2 linked regions of the Danio rerio genome follow. The protein of the gene in region 1 interacts with the protein of each later gene in a biochemical or structural test. Links are inferred from orthologs where the notes say so. Each region holds a gene or a part of one and is shown on either strand. Other genes may lie near its edges.

The links.
Region 2: of the proteins of myb (region 1) and nlk2, one has a biochemical effect on the other in vitro, tested with the Homo sapiens proteins (2 studies listed by BioGRID, with this or other methods). The link is inferred for Danio rerio from reciprocal best matches to the Homo sapiens genes MYB and NLK.

Annotation. Positions count from the first base shown.
Region 1 is NC_133198.1:34,765,421-34,775,087, reverse strand, and holds the end of myb (transcriptional activator Myb), read right to left. Parts: intron 9,025-9,667; coding exon 8,900-9,024; intron 8,589-8,899; coding exon 8,477-8,588; intron 7,360-8,476; coding exon 7,237-7,359; intron 7,009-7,236; coding exon 6,925-7,008; intron 6,842-6,924; coding exon 6,737-6,841; intron 3,775-6,736; coding exon 3,661-3,774; 3' UTR 2,440-3,660; downstream 1-2,439. UniProt on the Homo sapiens protein: Transcriptional activator; DNA-binding protein that specifically recognize the sequence 5'-YAAC[GT]G-3'. Plays an important role in the control of proliferation and differentiation of hematopoietic progenitor cells.
Region 2 is NC_133190.1:32,886,715-32,897,321, forward strand, and holds the end of nlk2 (serine/threonine-protein kinase NLK), read left to right. Parts: intron 1-2,523; coding exon 2,524-2,610; intron 2,611-4,480; coding exon 4,481-4,679; intron 4,680-6,618; coding exon 6,619-6,712; intron 6,713-8,470; coding exon 8,471-8,525; 3' UTR 8,526-9,354; downstream 9,355-10,607. UniProt on the Homo sapiens protein: Serine/threonine-protein kinase that regulates a number of transcription factors with key roles in cell fate determination. Positive effector of the non-canonical Wnt signaling pathway, acting downstream of WNT5A, MAP3K7/TAK1 and HIPK2.

The sequences.
Region 1 (9,667 bases):
ATTTCACATCAGCAGAAAACAGTATTAGTTTGTTCATCTAAAGTAAAATTATATTGATACACTGTAAAACCCAAAAAGTTAAGGTAACACAAACCATTTGAGGAAACCGATTGCAACAAACCATTTAAGTTCAAAAGCTAATCCTAATGAGTACTGTGAACTTAATCCATTTGAGTAAAAGAAGCAAAGTAAAACCCAATAAATGAAGAGAACTCAAACAAACTGAGTTCTGTAAAACCCAATATTCAATTTAATTCATCTTTATTTCCCTTGTGCTTTCACAATTTAGTTTGTGTCAAAGCAGCTTAACATAGAAGATTAGAGAAGTTTGAAACTGTGTCAGTCCAGTTTTCAGTGTTGAAGTTCAGTTTAGTTCAGTTCAGTGTGATTTAATTTTCACTGCTGTACAAACACTGAAGAACAAATCCATTGATGTGCAGCTCCACAAGTCCTAAAACCACGCAAGCCAGTGTTGACAGCAGCAAGAAACAAACTTCACCAATTGACGAATGTGAAGGACAAAACCTCAAGAGAAACCAGGCTCAGTTGGGCTTGACCATTTCTCCTTTAGCCAAATGTCTTGTGCAGAGCTGCAGTCTAGGCGCCGGAGGCTGGAGAACGCTGGAAGTCAATCGTAGAGAAGCTGCAGGTGGGAGAGGTCACTGGCTGATGTACAGGCTGGCCCTTCAGGATCAATGCGAAGACTCGTCTGTCACTGGGGTCTTACAGGAATCAGTCTCATACTCTCCACTCCTCCATTACCACCACAGCAGCTTCAACAAGTTAAGGCAACTCAAACCCTTAAGTACTGTGAACTTACTCTATTTAAGTTGCAGTAATGAGGTATTTAATTAACTCATTACCTTGAACAGTTCAAAACTTGTTTTAAATGAAAAGAATTAACTTCCAGTAAATTTTGAGGTAACTGCACTCATTTCATTTGATAAAGTTAACTTTTAGGTTTTATAGTGATATATTTTTGTAATCAATCAACATTTAATTCCAGGACTCTTTGAATTTGCCCAGAAATAAGAATTTTTAAGGCTTTATGGTTTGAGAGGGCAAGTTAACATTTTTTAGAAACCACATTACTGGATTTTTAAAAAAATAATTACATATTTAACGCTGGGATAAAATGTATTGCGATTCATTGCATCCAAAATAAAAGTTGGTTTTGACATAAGTCTCTGTTCATATTTAATACAACCTGTATATAATGTTCATAGTACATCCATCTGTAAATATTACCCGGAGTTTTTCTAGAATTGCTATTTTCTAACTTATACCTATATCCTGCCCTTGCTGCTATTGCACTCCTGGTTAGACCTGAACTGCATTTCATTGCCTTGTACTTGTACATGTGTAATGACAATAAAGTATAATCAAAATTACATATGCATATGTATAAATACAAATATGCATGCAAATTTTTGAGAAAATGTTTATTTACATGTAGATATAATATACTGTGGGGAAAACTGGAGCACCTTGAGGAAAACCACGCGAACAAGGGGAAAACATGAAACTCCACACAGAAATGCCAACTGACCCAGCCAAGGCTCGAACCAGCAACCTTCTTGCTGTGAGGCGACAGCACTACCTGGTGCTGACGCCTCACAGCAAGAAGGTCGCTGGTTCGAGCCTCGGGTGGGTCAGTTGGCCTTTCTGGAGGTGGAGTTTCCATGTTCTCCCTGCGTTCGTGTGGGTTTCCTCCGGGTGCTACGTTTTCCCCCACAGTCCAAAGACATGCGGTAGAGGTGAATTGGGTAGGCTAAATTGTCTATATAAGTGTATGAGTGTATGGATGTTTCCCAGAAATGGGTTGCGGCTGGAAGGGCATTCGCTGCGTAAAACATATGCTGGATAAGTTGGCAGTTCATTCTGCTGTGCCGACCCCTGAATAATAAAGGGACTAAGCCGAAAAAAAAGAATGAATAAATATCTATGTTACTCAATTGTTTTGTATAGTTTTGTTTCTATGCGTGTGTGCCTATCACATATACATAATAAATATACAATATATAAAACACCTATATTATGTCAAAAAACTTTTATTTTGACCCTAAATTAATATAAAACAAAGATTAATGGGAGCACAACTATGTATATAATGGGGTTTTGGATTTTGTTATAATTTTATTAATACTTTTATTCTAACTTACATTTTATAACAAATAAGTGATTAAAATATTATTTATTTTATTTTAGATGTACAATAGGTTACTGATATTTACATAAAGATTAACATAAACTCAAAATGGATTTGGATACTAAGTTCCTTGCAAGTATGATGTTTTTATGCAAAGTTCTTGAGACATTTAAGTTTGTCTTTTCGACTATATTTCAATAAGTAGTTTAATTTTGGTCTTATGAACATCTGTGAAAGTAAATAGATTTTAGGAGATGCAAAGTGGAAAAGAAACCATTAATCCAGAGATATTTTTTCTCAAAAACACACTTTATTTACAAGGCAGTTTGTATAAAAAACGTATGAAAAGTTCAAAATCAGTGTATAAAAAGTGTTTGTACTTGAAGCTAATACAAAAAGGCAGCGAATAACAAAAAGTTATTCCTCAATGCTTTTGATTGGATCTTAGTATCAAAAAAGGCTGATTGTAATATCAAAAAACAAGCCAACTACGTATAAAAGCAACAATCATTTCAGTGTTTAAAAACTAGAAATACCAAGGTAAATTTGATTACAAATCGTCATACAAAAAAGTGTTTATGAAAACATAAAGAAATGTTGTATATCATCTCGAAGGCAACTTTGGACCTTGATTTGAAAATGTTCGGTAAACCTTTGAAGCAAATACAAAAACAAACAAACACTTTGTTCTGTTGAAATTCCTGCAAGAGTTGATCTAAAACCTGAAATAGTGCTAATACAAAAATGAACGTTGTGGTTTCCATCTTGAAGCTTTTGAAATGGCAACACTACTAAACTGGCAGAGTACACTAGATATATGACTTCAAATTTTGAGTTGAATTCACAAACTGGCCTAATTTTGTAGGCATCGGGCACAGTTTGTTTTAGCCAGAAATACACAGCAGTGCTATAAGTCTGAAATACATACAAGGGCAGTTTTGTTGGTCACCCAGAACAACTCTTTGTCTGGTTTTGGGTGTAAGACTCGGATAATGCTAGGAGGACATGCGCTCCTTACAATTAACACACATTTAGCGAATAAAAAAGTGAGCAATACTGGGGGCAAACACTGGCAAAGGCGCCCGTCATAGTTAGTTAATTATTATTCTTAATACAAAATAATAATAAATTACTGCAAATTGTTCCTTATATTAAAATCCATAAAATTAGAACCCACATAAACAATTATTTCCCATGTATAATACAACATATATAATACAATATTATTAAATTCCAATCAGAAATGTAGAAATAACAAAACAAAACATATATATATATATATGTATATAAAAAACACAATGTCTTTGGTTCCTTGAATGATGGCACAGCTTAAACATTGGCGACCAAACATCGACTGTGCAGTCTACAAACAAAAATGGCTTACAGCCTCTCCCAAATAATGTACCACGAGTGTAGGGACTGTTCCTCTTTTTACTTCTTTTCAGAATGATTGTCTTCTTTCACTCTCCCTCCTCCTTCCCTTTCTATTTTTGTCTCATTATGTCTCTCGTTCATATGACCAGAGCTCGCGAAGAATAATTGCTGAGGTATTTGTGCGTGGCTTCAGAGGGAATCGTCTGCTCTTCCGTCTTCCCACAAAGCACCTGTTCCCATGTGTTCAACTGCTGTGATGGACGAAAGAAGAGAGAGAGAGGGGAAGTGAGGATGGAGAGAAGTACATCAAACTCAGAGATGAAGGTGATTGGTCAGGTTTTGCATAGCCTACGCTTGTGTGTCTAATAAATCATTACTTTTACAAGTTTATGGTGCAATTCAGCACCTGGAGTCATAAAGCCAAATATGTGCTACTACCAAATGCTACTATATAGTTGTACATACAAACTACGCAAGTAACATTAATACATTAAAGACACTAAAAATATGCATTTTCAAGTATTAGCTACTTTTCACAACAGCCCCAAACAAACTGTTTTTGTTATGAAACCGTATTTTAGAATGAAAACACTCCTCATTTAGGCAAAACAAACTCCATCACTCCATTATACGGTGTAAAATGTATGATATCTGACTATTCGCACTTTCTGGGCATACACATATTTTGCCCGCATTCATACTTGAAGTCTACTGGTTGTGTAAAAATCATATGGTAGTGGCTTGACGAATCGGCGAAGGATATGCAATAGTTTAGATGACCAATCAGACAGTGATCGTAGATAGCCATGCCTCCATTTAAGAAAATCTCTATTTCAAGCTATACTAAAACAAACATAAAAAGCATTTCCAAACTAAAACTGGGTCTTTAGTGTTTTTAAAATGCTCCATTTTTACAAATTGAACATGTCCGAGTAGTCCAGATGCTAGCCGCAATCATGACTAAACTAAATGCACTAGTGTTAACAGAACAAAATAATAACAAAAAACAAAATACGTTGTGTAGAATTGTTATAAAAGTACCTCCACTGACACATTTACATAATGAGCATTATAGTAAAAGTATTTTTTTTTTAAAAAGGGTAAATATTAGTGATGGTGTTTAGGATTATAAAGAAAATGGTACCCAAATATTTTCTTGATTATTATATTTTAGTTTATTTCATTTTACAAAAGCCAGTAGCAGGCATGTTTATCCTTGTAGATTAGATTAGAGTGAAACAGGTAGAAATTCTTTAATGTATTGCCTATGAGTTTAAAAGAGATTCAATTTGAGAGTGTTTTTAGAAGAGCAATTAAAAAAAATGAAGGTTAAAGTTAATATAATGTTAATATTTGCATTTATAATTCGCTTGTTCAGTTTTTAAGATCATCGAGGACCACAATGGAAATAAGTCTGTGGCTTTTTTTGTGTATTTTATCCTTGACAGTTTTTAAAATATGTATGAATTATTCTAACTGGACTTGTTGGTATATTTTTGTTCAAACTGTCAAATAAAATCAATCAATCAATAATAAATGTTCTAATAATAAATGTTCAGTATAATGTTGAAACAGCTATTCTGTACTGCTATGTCAATGCAAAGAAAAGTTTACTTTCACATAGCCAGATCTGTAGAGTGCAATAGCTTTATATCCATAAGGGTGCATGGCTGAGCTTGTGGAAACATATCCATGTTGCTATGATCAGATCCCGCTTTTTTAAATTTATTTGTTTTGTGGCCTTTAATTTAATGTTAAGAGGAAAGGCGTGCAGCATCCATTAATCTAAAAGTGCAACATACATTCATGGAAACATCACTCTAAGTTTGTACATTTTGCAAATGTAATCCCAATTTTTGTCAGTACGTTGCTTGTACACTAGTGTAAGCATGGGCAACAGGTTGTTGGATGCAATTCACTTAATGACCACCGGTGTCGCTAGTATTCTACATATAGCTCAAATCATTGCATTAAAAATTTCAATGCGATACTTTCTGATAGCCAAACGTAACAGGGGTGTGTGCATTATTTACTAACACTGGTGTTTACTCTTGGAACCAAAATATAATTCTGAATGAAACATTTTAAACCAGGCAATCAGAATGTGTATCGGTAGCATACTGGTTATGTGCTAAGGCTTTATATTAGAGTATATGCAGGAATCCTAAAGGTAATTTCAGTACCTTTTTAAGACTTTTTAAAGACCTACTCATAATATTTTAAGACCTCATCGCCACTTCAAGTTTTAATCAGTATAAAACCTTTAACTTAATAAACAGCTCTTAATAAACAGTTGTAGTTAAATAAATCAATGGATCACAACCATGCCACAGAACTCGGAAGAAACAAAGCTTGTTTTCAGCGACAGGCTTTAGCCACTGTTTAAACTCGTCTTTCTTCAACCAGGAGAATGCAAACTTACATTTTCACATTTTTCTGTCTGTTTCGGTTTATGGTTTTGTTACATGCAGAGAGCGTCACATCCCCTTCCCACGTTTGTCGCAAATTACGCGACATCACTCGGATGGAGGAGCTTGGCCCAAACCAATTGCATGGATTGAGGATGTTATTGTTAATATTAGGAGGAAAATAAATATATTTATGCTTTTTTGGAGTCAAACACTTTGGACAATGCTTAAACAAAATTTAAGACCTCGTAAAAACTCGATTAAGACTTTGTAATACTTTTTAACAGCCTTAATTTTTTCATGACTGATTTATCAACTTTTAATACTTTTAAAGATCCCGTGGACACCCTGGATATCGAAACTTTAGTTGTAAACAATAATTTCCCCTATTTTTTAATTCAGATGACCTCATCCAGCACCCATCTAACTTGAAAGGCCAAATTAGCTGTAATGTTTAATACAATACATCCTTATGCGATGTCTGATTTTTTAAATACTTTTTAAAAGCATTTAAAAAAAAAAGCTCCTATTTTTTTTTTGTATTTGTATTTTGTTGTATTAGAAAGGTAATCGAAATGTACTTATTAAACCACAATAAACTGAGCTAAACTGAACTGAACTTAATCTTTAAAAACTGAACTACACTATTTCATTTTACTATGATCTTTTATGTGAAGCTGCTTTGACACAATCTACATTGTAAAAGCGCTATACAAATAAAGCTGAATTGAAATGAATTTACTAAAACATAAGTTCTGAAAACTTTTCACATAGCTACACAGGAGTGAATATGTAAATATTATACCTGCAAAGGACTTCCTATGGGTCTGCGGGGCAACTGGGCAGCTTTGTGTCCGTCCTCAGTCTTCTCTGTGTTGGGAAGCATCAGCACAGAGCTAGTCAGCAGATCCTATAAAAACACAACCGTCAAACATCAAAATAATGCTGACAACTGTAGCATTCGTCGTATAAAAGCGTAACGAAGATACTCACAGGCATGTCGTGGGCGGGGCCATTAGAAGGGAACAGCTGAGTGTGGAGATCTTGCCCCTCCCACTGAAGACACACTGACTCCACCTACAAATCCAAAAGATTGACAATTATTACAACAGATCTTTGACTATACCGGGCATAATTTACAGTACTTTTACAATCTCACAATTCACAGCCTCACTCTGATGGAGTTTGACTGCATGCTGATATTACTGACAAATTCAAATCGCAACGTACAGACAAGGCGTTTTTACATTTGTGCTATTTGAATATCAAATTCAAATGAAGGGGCCTGCATTCAGCTGAACTCACCTCCTGTTTGATCTTTTTCAGAGGGGGCTGGTCTAGATGCACCCCTCCAACACTGATCTCACACTCCTGGGGCTCTTGTTTAATCGTGCCGACCACTCCAGAGTCCAGCGAAGGACTGTGGACCTGCAACCAGAATACAGACTTGAATAAAACATGTCAATGTAGTTAAGCATAATGTGGCATAAGCAAAATGGTTTCTGTTATTAGAGGGTTCATTTGTTGTATGATATTGGATATTTCATTTCACCTAGTATAACATTTAGATTACCTCATCTAGTGATTGCTTTTGGAAATCCCAAAGTTATTAATAATATTTTATAGTGTTCTACAGTTTCATATTGTATATCCTGTTGAAATGTCTGCTTGTTTAGTCATTGTTGGTGTTTTCTGCAAGTACATTGCCTTTATTGTATAGATTTGTATAGATTTTGTTATCATATATATATATATATATATATATATATATATATATATATATATATATATATATATATATATATATATATATATACACACACACACGTATTTTATTTTTATTTTTATTTTTTTTATATTTAAATGACAATGATAATAATATATCAAATAATTTTAAATCATGTTCTTTGAAAATAATTTAATAACATTTGAATAATATTTAAGACAGTTTTTTTATGCAAACAGTCCCGGGATATTTGATTCGTGTTACATATTTGTGTTATTTAAACTGTATTTTAAATTATTCAGATGGAAATACACTGGTAATATTTTACCACGACATTTTCCATTATTTCTATGGAGTTTTCTTTACAATGTAAATTCATTTAGATTTTTTATGTATATTTTTCCTCTGGGTGCTTCGGTTTCCCCCACAGTCCAAAGACGTGGTATAGGTGAATTGAATAAGTTAAACTGGCTGTAGTGTATGTGTGTGAATGCAAAAGTGTATGGGTGTTTCTCTGTGTCGGTTTGCGGCTGGAAGGGCATCCGCTATGTAAAGCATATGCTAGATAAGTTGGTGGTTCATTCTGCTGTGGCGACCCCTGGTAATAACGGAACTAATAATAGTAACGACAATAATCTTGCAAGTTAGTTTATTTCATGCTATTTATAATAATAATTTATTCAATTTTAATGGTTATATTTAAAATATAGATATTTTATGTAATTGTTATGTAAAAATTTATTTTATCCTATTGTAAAATTATGTGTATATACTGTGTATTTATTTGTGTTCTCAAAAAAAAAAAAAAAAAAGTCTTACCCTCTTCAGTGGTCCGTATTTGCTGTCCTGCATTGTCAGTGTGGATTTGAATGGAGTGGGTGTGCGAGGAGAACACTCCATGATCGAACGCCTCAGGTTGGGAGTTCGGAACCTAAAAATGGCCATATATACATTATCACTTAACCACTGTCTCATTACCATCATCTTTAACAGAGGGGTCTAAAGGGCCAGTTTCCTGCATAGTTTAACTCCAACTTTCTTCAACACACCTGCCTGGAATTTTCTAGTATACCTAGAAAGAACTTGATAGGCTGGTTCAGATGTGTTTAAATGAGGTTGGAACTAAAATATGCAAGACACCGGCCCCCCAGGACTGAGTTTGAACACCCCTGATCTATAACCTCAGTAATTCCATCTCTATAGGAGATCCTAATTATAAATGATATCAAAAAGGGCACTTACAGCTCATTTTCCTTCTGAGGTCGAAGAGCAAGGTCTTGCTGCAGTGCTTTCTGGGAGCAGACCGGCGATGGCGTGACTGGTATATTTTGACTGTCTGAATCGGGACTCACTGAAGCATTAAAGAACTGCAAACAGAAGAAAGGAAGAAAACAATCAGATATTAAACTGTAAACCACATAATTAACATTCAGAGGTGTAGGAGGACCTGCAAATGAGGTCAGAATCAGCATAAATTCACACATAAGTGTCAGTAAACAGTTTTGATACTATTAGACTAGGTTAAAAGCAAGTTAAGCTATTGTATGATTAGAGCATACCAGCATGTAATGAAGAACATTATAACTAAGTGCAACAATAACAGCTATAAGAGGAAATGAAAAGTGTAATCGCATGCTGAGAATCATACACCAATCACCCAGTGCTCATTAGACATTCATTTCATTTAAGAAAGCAACACAGCGGTCCTTCGTGCAAGATATAGTATATCTTAGTAGTATATAGAGTATATTAGTATCTAATATTCAAGTCAAACACTATCTTTAGTGTTTGACTGATGTACTGAAAACAACAGAGCAAAATCAATACAGTCATACCAAAGAGATAAAAGTGTTAAAGCATCATAAAAGTGTAGCACTAATAGCTGAGGTGATACATTTAATATGTTAAAAGCGTTCATGTTGGCTATAAATGCGATTTAGTATGTCAACGCAACCTTTTGATGAATCCTACGCATGTTGACTAATGCACACTGATTCGTATTAGAGTGAA
Region 2 (10,607 bases), on another chromosome or scaffold:
AGCAGAAAAAAAATGTATTTACTTATTAATGATTATAAATCATATGATGTTTAAAGTGGTTCAATGAAGTCAATATTTAAGTTAAACATCATTACTTAGTATTTACTTGCAGCTGCGCACATTGCTCGGTCAAGGTTGTTTGTTATAGTGGCAAATTGTGTTTCCCCCTTATTTTGTGCATACACTAAACTGTAGCTGTTATGGAGGATGAGAGAGCTCTTGGATTTCATCTACAATGTCTTAATTTACGTTCTAAAGATAAATGAAGGTCTCAAGGGTTTGGAACGACATTGGAACGAGTAATAATTAACATAAAAAAATTTTCTGATAAAAATTGATATATACAGTTGAAGTCAGAATTATTAGCCCCCCTGATTTATTAGCCCCCCTCTTTATTTTTTCCACAATTTCTGTTTAACAAAGATTTTTTGAATACATTTCTAAACATAATAGTTTTAATAACTCATCTCTAATAACTGGTTATTTTATCTTTGCCATGATGACAGTAAATAATATTTGACTAGATATTTGTCAAGACACTTCTATACAGCTTAAAGTGACATTTTAAGGCTTAATTAGGTTAATTAGGCAGGGTAGGGTAATTAGGCAAGTTATTGTAGAACGATGGTTTGTTCTGTAGACTATCAAAAAATAAAAAAAATAAATAGCTTAAAATAAAAATAAATAGCTTAAAGGGGCTAATACTTTTGACCTTAAAATGGTGTTTAAAAAAAGTATAACTGCTTTTATTCTAGCCAAAATAAAACAAATACTTTCTCCGGAAGAAAAAGTATTATCAGACGTACTGTGAAAATGTCCTTGCTCTGTTAAACATCATTTGGGAAATATTTATAAAAGAAAAAAAAATCTGGGCGGTGGGGGTGGGGGGGATGTTGGAGGGGCTAATAATTTAGACTTTAACTGTACATTTTCAGTTAACTTAAGAAATTTGAATGAAACAATACAGATTTAGTTTAAAATATAATTAAGTAAGTTTTGCATCAAATACATTATGATCTACCAGCAAGCTTTTCACATGCCAATAAGAACACATTACTACCATAAAGAGTTACAGCAATAATGCTGTGGATCCCTCCATAACTGGCAGAGACTTGAAAATTACCCTTGTTTGACAAATAAATAAGAGCACATGGTATGAGCAGGGCACAGTGGTTAGCACTGTCCCCTCACTGCAAGAAGGTTGCTGGTTTGAGTTGGAACCCTGTGTACACATGGGTTTCCTCAGGGTGCTCTGGTTTCCCCCACAGTCCTAAAACATGCGCTATAGGTGAATTGAATTGACTAAATTAACTGTAGCATATGATTGCATAAATTTGAGACTGTATAGGTGTTTCCCAGCAATGGGTTTCAGCTGATAGGGCATCCGCTGTGCTGGAATAGTTGACAGTTCATTCCACTGTGGCAGCCCCTAAAAAATAAGAGACTAAGCCGAAGGAAAATGAACGAATAAATGACAAATAAGTGATTAAAGTACACATTTCCAACATTTTCAAATGCTACACCTGAAACGACATGTTACTTTCAGGATATTTATCAAATCTCCAATCTCAATCTTTCCAATATCATGGATTTGCAGAGCATTCACAGCACTTACGAACCACACACCCCTGCTGAGATGTTGCCCACTTTCAAATCCGGATGATATTCTGGTCCCTACTGTAGATATGACTCAGAAGCTTTCTTCAATGAACGTCTGATTGCTTCTAGATAATCGCACACCTCGCTTCCGCCAGGCACCGAAAGCATTCATTCCTCCTTTCCCATCCTCTCCCTCCATCTCTCACCTTCACCTCCATCAGCTGTAGTCAGAACCCACAACACGTCATCCCGTTTTACAGGGTGAATCACCAGCCATAGTTCACATCTGCTCTCAGCTCAAAGAACCTAACCAGGGAAAACAAGCAATTACCGGTGGGCTTTTTCAATCAACTCTTTGGCGAGCCGGCCGGGGGCCTGGGATGGGGGAAGGTGGGCGGAAGAGATAATTAGACACGGTTAAAAATATCCCAGCTCATTGTCTCCGCTGTCCCACATCCTCAGATAATGTGCAGCTATTGGCGCAAAGATCATGTGCTCCTGGGAGGAATGTTTTGCATGTTTTTAGCGGCTGAACGGCCAGCGAGGATCACATGACAGCTCGATGTGCTCTTGTTTGTATGTTTTGCCTGCTTTTTACAAAACAATTAAATGATAAGGATTGTCCATGATTCTAATTCGTGTTCATTCTATGCACTGCGTTTCTGAAAGTGAATGTACTGTGGAAGTCAAACATATTCGCCCTGCTGTGAATTTGTTTTTCAAATATTTCCCAAATGATATTTAACAATTTTTCATAGTATTACCTATTATATTTATTCTTCTGCAGAAAGTCTTATTTGTATTATTTTATGGAGGAAAAAAATCTTTAGGGGGGCTAATAATTCGGACTTCAACTGTATGTTGTTGGTGAAAAGGAGAAGTTACTCTGAGACTGACTTGTCTTCCTGTTTCCTGTTTCTGCAGCCCTCACTTCCAGTCCTATATACCCTGTCCAGTCAAGCAACCCATGAGGCCGTTCACCTCCTCTGCAGGATGTTGGTCTTCGACCCAGTAAGTGTTCTTGATACTCTATTATCATATTTTCTTTTGGATTAAAGCATGTTAAATATACGTTCTGTTAAAAAATATATGACTCTGGTCTTATGTTGCATGGATATATATTTTAGGCAGTAGAAAAAATATATGGTCACACTTTATTGTGATGGTCCGGCATTAAGTTACATTGCATCTGCATGCCTACTAATTTTCATTTGATTAAAAGTCGACTGTTAGGTTGGGGTTTGGGTTAATGTAAGTTGACATGTACTTGCAAAGTTTCTTATACAGTAGTCAGTTAAAAGTCTGTTGAAGGAGCTGTATCAACAGATATTAAGCTGACAGTCTACTAATACTCAAATAGACAATCAAAAAAAGTGTAACCAAATATATTGTATGGGTCAAAATTATAAAAAAAATTTTTTAAATAATTTGCATATTAAGAAAAGTGTTGCATGAAGACATTTTTACACATTTCCTACTGCAAATGTGTCAAAACTTAATTTTGTAGAAGTATTATGCATTGCTAAGAGCTTATCTTGAACAAGTTTAAAGGTAATTTTCTCAATATTTAGATTTTTTAAACCCTCGGGTTTCAGATATTCAGATATCTCAGTCACGGTCATATCTCGACCAAATATTGCCTTATTCTAACAAAGCAAACAGTAATGAAATGATTTGTTCATCTTTCAGTTAATGTAATATTAATTTATAATTATTACTTTTTTAGTTCAGTTTGACATATTTGATTATTATTTAAACCAGATTTACCACAGACATGATGTAATATTTATGTCATTTATATCCATTTAAATTAGCATTTATATAACATAGATGTAATGCATTTTTTGTATTCTATTACATATGAACATCATTATTTCTGATATAACTAAATAATACAATATTGTAATATTTTTCTCATATATTAAATTTACTACAATATATATATATATATATATATATATATATATATATATATATATATATATATATATATATATATATATATATATATATTTCCATATAAAGTGTTATATTTTAGGGGGGAGGCTATAACATGCTGTCTGTATAAACACACAGACACACAGCAACACACTGTCTCTCATTCAAACACATTCACAAACATAGACAGCATCAAACAAACAAACACACACACGCACACACACACACACAAACAAACACACTTAAGCCCTTGCAACAGGGAGAGCTTACGCTGAGCGGAGCAGAAAAACAGAAAAAAACGAAAAAAATAAGCACTTTTCCGATGGTCCCTTACAGAGAGCTCCTCTCAGCGCGAGCTCTGCCGGCTAAAGTAAACGCAGACTGCAAGGGCTTAAACGGAGCTGTGCTCGTAATGTCGAGCGAAAAAAAGAAAGACAGCTGTGAAACATAACCAGCTTTGTCTTTCTGTAGGAAACACACTTTAGATATTTTTAGGGTAAGCGTTTTTTGAGTTATTGGCGTCTATAACTGAATGTGTGTCAGGAAAATCGAAAACAAAACCAACTGAACTGCGCTCATTTCTGGCGCCCCACTGGATATACAGCGCCCTAAGCATTTGCCTGTGGTGCCTATGCCACGGGCCAGCCCTGAGTTTGCTGAGTGTTGTAAATAACGGCGCTCACCTTCCTCGCGACAGAGCGCATAGGAGATAAATGACGTCAGTACATAATAACCGGTTATGGTTATTACTAAATCGATACCGAATTGTCCGTGTCTGCATCGCGGTGCACCGAAGAAACAATTAATTTTGACACCCCTAATATATATATATATATATATATATATATATAGTATTTATAATATATATTTGTTTTATTTGTTTTATTGTGTTTATATGTTTTACTGTAATATTTAAACTGAACTAATGTGTTCCCCGAAACAGTCGAAGCGAATCTCTGCGAAGGATGCCCTGGCACACCCGTATCTGGATGAGGGGCGTCTGCGATACCACACCTGCATGTGCAAATGCTGCTACACCACGTCCTCCGGCCGCGTTTACACCAGTGACTTCGAACCCGTCACAAACCCCAAGTTTGACGATGGATTTGAGAAGAACCTGACGTCAGTTCGGCAGGTCAAAGGTGAGCCACCAAAAACTCATTCACTTTTACACATTTATGAGGATTACAGTACACAACAGAGATGCACCAATAGACCGGCCAGAAATCCGCATTGGGTTTTTTTTGTTGCTCTAAACTAAAAATAAAACATTAAATTAAACAAATCTAGCAAACATAAACTATTCATTCACTATAAATCCTTCATTTTAATTTCTTTATTAATTATGTGATGTTTTCAACATTAAATTGATGGTACGAATAAGACGAATTAAACCTCTCTAGTACTATCATACCTTGTAATATACTGTACAGTTGAGGTCAAAATTATTAGCCAAATATTATTTATTTTTTATATTTTCCAAATATTTCACAAATTATTTATAACAAAGCAACAATTTCTTTACAATATTTCTTATGTTTTTTCTTTTGGAGAAAGTCTTAGTTTTATTTCGGCTAGGATAAAATATTTTTTTAATTTTTAAAAACCATTTTAAGTTCAATATTAATAGCTCCCTTTAGCATTATATTTTTACTAATTAACTAATTTTAACTAATTACCCTAACTCACCTAATTAACCTAATTAACCTCTGAAGAAACAAATATTTATATATTTTGTTTTGTTTATTTTTATTATTATTTTTATTTATTTATTTTCTTTTTTTTTTTTTGGCTTAGTCCCTTTATTAATCAAAGTTGCCACAGCAGAATGAACTTTCTAATTTATTTTATTTTATTTCAAAACAAAATCAGAACTGGCCACTGCATCACTACTACACAATCTACAACACGTGAGCCAAACAAAGTCAGTCTATTAATTTAACCTTTTGTCCCGATTCACCTCGCTTTGAAGACAACGTGTTCAAGAGCTAAAGGTCTTAATTGAATTGGAGCTATTTGAGAGCATGTGGCCGTCATGCCGTTGCGTGTTAATCAGAAGCCTCCTGCTGCTCCTGGTGTTTTTTGTGCCTTGTTTTCACCCTTCACTCGGGGCCCCTGGATCGGCGCTTGCCTTCCACTGTCAGCGGGTATTAGCGAGAGTCTGTCACTAAAAGCAGGCTTACTGTGCTGTCGGCTCAAAATAACTGTGCCCTTCACCCTCCCTCCTCTTCCTCCGTCCTGTGTGTTTCCACTGGAGGATTAGTCAGTGCGGATGGAGCCCAGCGCCTGGAGACTTTAAGCGCTTTAGGGAAGGCAGGCGTGTTTGGACGGCAAGGGGAAGCCCTCTTGGATCCACACATGAGGAGTTTCCACGTTGCCCAAGCTAGTTTTACGCTTTAGAAGATCTTACAGATATCATAATGCTGCAGAATCGACTCTTTGACCTGCTTCACTGCTAAAATAGACCTTGTCTTCTTTTATGATTAAGGATTTGCTCTGGAAATGTGTTGTAGAGTGTAACCAGTTTGTTTATATTAGTGTGGACACACAGTACACTATCATATACAGTATCAGTAGCATATATTATAGGGTCATTATTTATTTCATTCATTCAGTAGTCTCTATTTCAGTGGTCACCACAATGGAATGAACTGCCAACTATTCCAGCATATGTATTACGCATGTGGATGCCCTTTCAGCTGCAACCCAGTACTGGGAAACACCCATATACACACATACACTACTGCCGATTTAGTTTAATTCATGTCTTTGGACTGTGGGGGAAACCGGAGCACCCGGAGGAAACCCACACAAACACTGGGAGAACATGCAAACTCTACACAGAAATACCAATTGGCCCAGCCAGGCCTCGAACCAGCGGCCTACTTGCTGTGAGGCAACAGTGCTAACTGAGCCACCGTGCCATCCTGATGGTTTCTTTGAAGTCACATATAAACAAAATAGTTTTGTTTTTGTGAACTAAAATATGAGCCAAGTCATGATTAGCCACGATTGAATGTAACTTCTGCTGTTATTATTGTTTGTTTCTCATCGAGCCTCTGCTATTTCTCCATCACACAGAGATCATTCATCAGTTCATCCTGGAGCAGCAGAAAGGGAATCGAGTACCGCTCTGTATCAACCCTCAATCCGCTGCCTTCAAAAGCTTTATCAGGTGAGGCTGCCCTCTTCTGAACGTCTCTTCTGCTTTAATGGTTAAAGCTCTTTTCTCCAGGTCAGGTTTCATGCTGGAAAGCAATATGAGCATAATGAAAGTTAGATCTATATGTTCATAGCAATTTTTGCATTGTGACATTATTTTCATCACAAAAATTCATTTTAAGACCAGAAAAATGTGTCATTTAACAAAAATAATTGCAATAATTACAAATTATAAAGATTTTAAAAAACTGAGTGTTTTATACAGGTGTACGTTGTATTAAATAATACATATTACTTTTATTTAAATGCATTATTATTTATTTTTAGATTTCTATTTGTTAAAATGATTACTAAGTATACAATTACTATATAAATACAATGGTCATAAAATAAGCAAAACGCTTACATTTGTTTATGCAAAATGTGTTTTTTGCTAGAATAAACATATATACTTTATTTTAAACTTGAAATTAAAAAATCCCCAGGCAATTCTTTACTGAATTTATGATATTCACTCTCATGCCATACCTTTTCCTTTTACAAACATGCTAAATCAAAGCCAGTGAGTTTAAGAATCATGTTTGGACATGCTTTAGGTTAAAAGAAACATGTCATTGTTCAAAATTAACCCTAATTTTTTTATATAAAAGACCAGAGCTTGACATTAACACCAGGAAATGTGTTTAGATTTCAGCTGTGGTGGGTTAGACAGTCACTCCCACTAGCTACTTAGGCTGGTTGATAATTAATTAATATAATTTTTAAATTGTAGTTGTTATAAAAAAAAGCAGAGTTCAACAATAAGGATTTTCCAATGAGGGGCCAGCGTGAGAGATCACAATAATAACTGTGTTCGTGTAAGCAAAAGAAAGCAGGTGAATACGTGAATACCGAATGAGGCGATGTTGACGCACTGACGAGGGCTTCAGTGTCAAGGCTGATTTCAGGTGATATGACACACGCAAGTGTTTAAAGGTTTCAAAAAAAAAAACTCTTCCTTGCATGAAGCATCCGTGCCTGTAAACATAACTGGTGCGATTGGTTCTCTTTTAAATAGACTGGACAAAAAGTGATGCTTGTGCCCCACAGTCCTGCTGCTTTCAAGAGCTCCATTTTTTTTAAAGATGTTTTTGTAAGCAGCAGGTTCCTTTTTCACATGGTATGTTTTCATCTGCTTTCTTTTGCTTACAGTTATTTTAAGCTAATAATTGATTTTATTTTTATTTATTTATTTATTTATTTATTTATTTATTTATTTATTTTTGGTGTGGCTAGAGAAAAAAACAGTAAATCCTTAGTGTTGAGTCCTGAAAAATAAAAGCTAATTGCAATGCGACACTATGAATAACTCATAACTCATTTGCTCATGATCATTGAGCAAGGTCATACATAATACACAAAATAAGTGTAATCAATGAGGAGGCATGTGGAAAAAACACATCTAAATCAAGTCATTTTAGCATGCCAAAATCAAATTTTATGCATATAAAATAAATATTTTCCAACAACAAAATTGTGGCTAGTGAAAATGGCAAGTGGCTAGTAATGTTGGTAAAATACTAGCCAAGTGGCTGGTGATCAAAGAAGTTAATGTGAAGCCCTGTAAAAGACAGTATGTCTTAAATGGGAGCAATTGTTGCAAATGTTTTTGTTAAATCTAAACATTTTGATCTCATCTTCTAGCTTCCAGTCTCTCAACACTAGATGGAGACATCTCCTTATCCTTTACACAGGACCTAACAATCCCCTCTTTCTTTCATTGTGTCCACAGCTCAACAGTAGCTCAGCCCTCTGAGATGCCTCCATCTCCTTTAGTTTGGGAGTAGCTGAGGACAACAGAGAAGATGGCGTTGATCACAGTGGCAGTGGACGTCCCTCCGGCGGCCTGTCCCGTCCCGCGCCCACCCTCGCCCCTCCGGACTACTGACCCCCAGGCATCCCCAAACCTGCGTAGCATTTCACTGGAGTCTAGGACTAGCCAATGTTGCTGATATTTGTGTGTGTGTACTGTAATACTTACTAAATGGAGTTTTATAGAGGCAACCACTGCTGATGAGTTCAAGCGGGACAAGGGAAGGGTGGGCGTGGTCCTGGGGGGTCCGTTCGTTCATACCCACTGCTCTGTAGTAGTAAACTGAAGGTTCGGAAAGCTCTCGAACCTGTACTTTCGGCAGATAAAGTCGATCCCTGTGGACTTGAATGTATTGAAGAGCAGGGCGGCAGAATCTGTGCAGTATCCCTGAAGGAAAACTCATCACGACTATGTGTGCGAGTAATCATGCTTTATTTATTCACGGAAACAAGAAGTGCAGTGCATCATGTAGTATCGAAAAGAAGGCAAGTTTTTCTTAAGTCTGAAGTTTTTTCGCTCGCGATAGCACCTTAGAAAGAAACAGGGCCGTGGTATAGGGTGGGACAGGAAATATCCCTGACACACCAAGCCAAATCTTGGTTTCCGGTCAACGTCTTGCCATCCATTGGTCAGTTATGTTTTTCTAGAGTGGAGTTAGTCCGACCTGTTAGGGGACTTTCTGGCCAATTGAGAATGCTGAAGCGCAATCTGTGCCATCAGTGAGAGAGAAGACTCTGATTGGCTGTTCAGTTTTGAAGAGGAGTCATAGCTAATTCAGGAGTCATTAATAAAAGCCAAAGTGATGAAAATGAACAAAGAATTTAAAAAGGCACAGAGAGAAGGCTCTTATAAGGTATTTAGGTCATCTTACCTAATCACAGATATATTTGTAATGACAGAAAGAGTCTGGAATGAGCAAAGTGATCATTACATTGTTTATATTGAAAATATGGCACACATTATGTGCACTATTTGACTACTAATGGCACTTTATAATGCAGACTATTGTCAGTGAAAGTCCACAAGACCGCAACGTGACCCAATCTGTGGCATTGCTAGGAGATTATATGCACAGGTTTGGGCTCTGGGACCCTTTGCTAAAGATTTCAGTCATGGGACTTTACTGTTGTGGGCCTCTAGACCCTATGCCCTCCATTTCCCCCTACATTCAGTACACTGCTGTTGGCATCTAGCATATTTTTAGCTTTCAAATAGCGACAATTGTGGACAGCAAGAGTTTAGGATGCCAACTGTTATTGAGCCATAGACTATTGAATCCTGCTGATGTATAGACAGTTATTTCCTCTCACTCAGGCACAGATCAAACCTGCTATTAGGCCATTGGTTGCAGTCTTTGTAGTGTTTTCACACACACTAACTCAAGGTGAAGCTATTGCTGGCTTTTGCCATCCTTAGTTTTCTGGTGTCACTTGGTGTGTCAGGTCCGTATCAAGTTGTACTGGGCCTTGTAAATTTTAGCAATGGCGCTTACAAGAAGTTTAACCACTCATTTTACTAGTTCGAGCTACTCATTGTGTTTATTTGCTTTATTTTTTATGTAATAGAAGAGATTCCTCCATTTTCTCTTTTGTCCGTAGCCTTTTGTTAGAAATCTGTATTGATTTTGTTTTCATCTCATGTTTAGTTTTTGCGAGTAAAAGAAAAATCAGTATACCATAGCGCAGCACTTGGCAGAGGAACTGATTCAAAGGCTTCTTTTAGTACTCCTGAATGTGAATGTGTTGTGTCAATATTTAGTGCTGCAGATGGGTGACTGTATGGCACAGTGTCTCTGAACATTGGCCCAATCCCAAACGGCACACTTCATGTGAGCTTGTGGGCTTGCAGACATTTAGTGACCGCCATGTGCACTTGTCTGTGAAGTCCGCAAGACCGGAGGGTGTCCTAACCATCGGTTTAGCTTACAGAAGGGGGCTCTGAGCACATGCTATGCGCATTTCTGTCACACTTGCACTGAGGTGAGCTTCAAGCAGACCCGTGTGGTCTACCACAAGATTTTAGAGTGCCATTTGGGATACTATTGATGCCTGCTGAT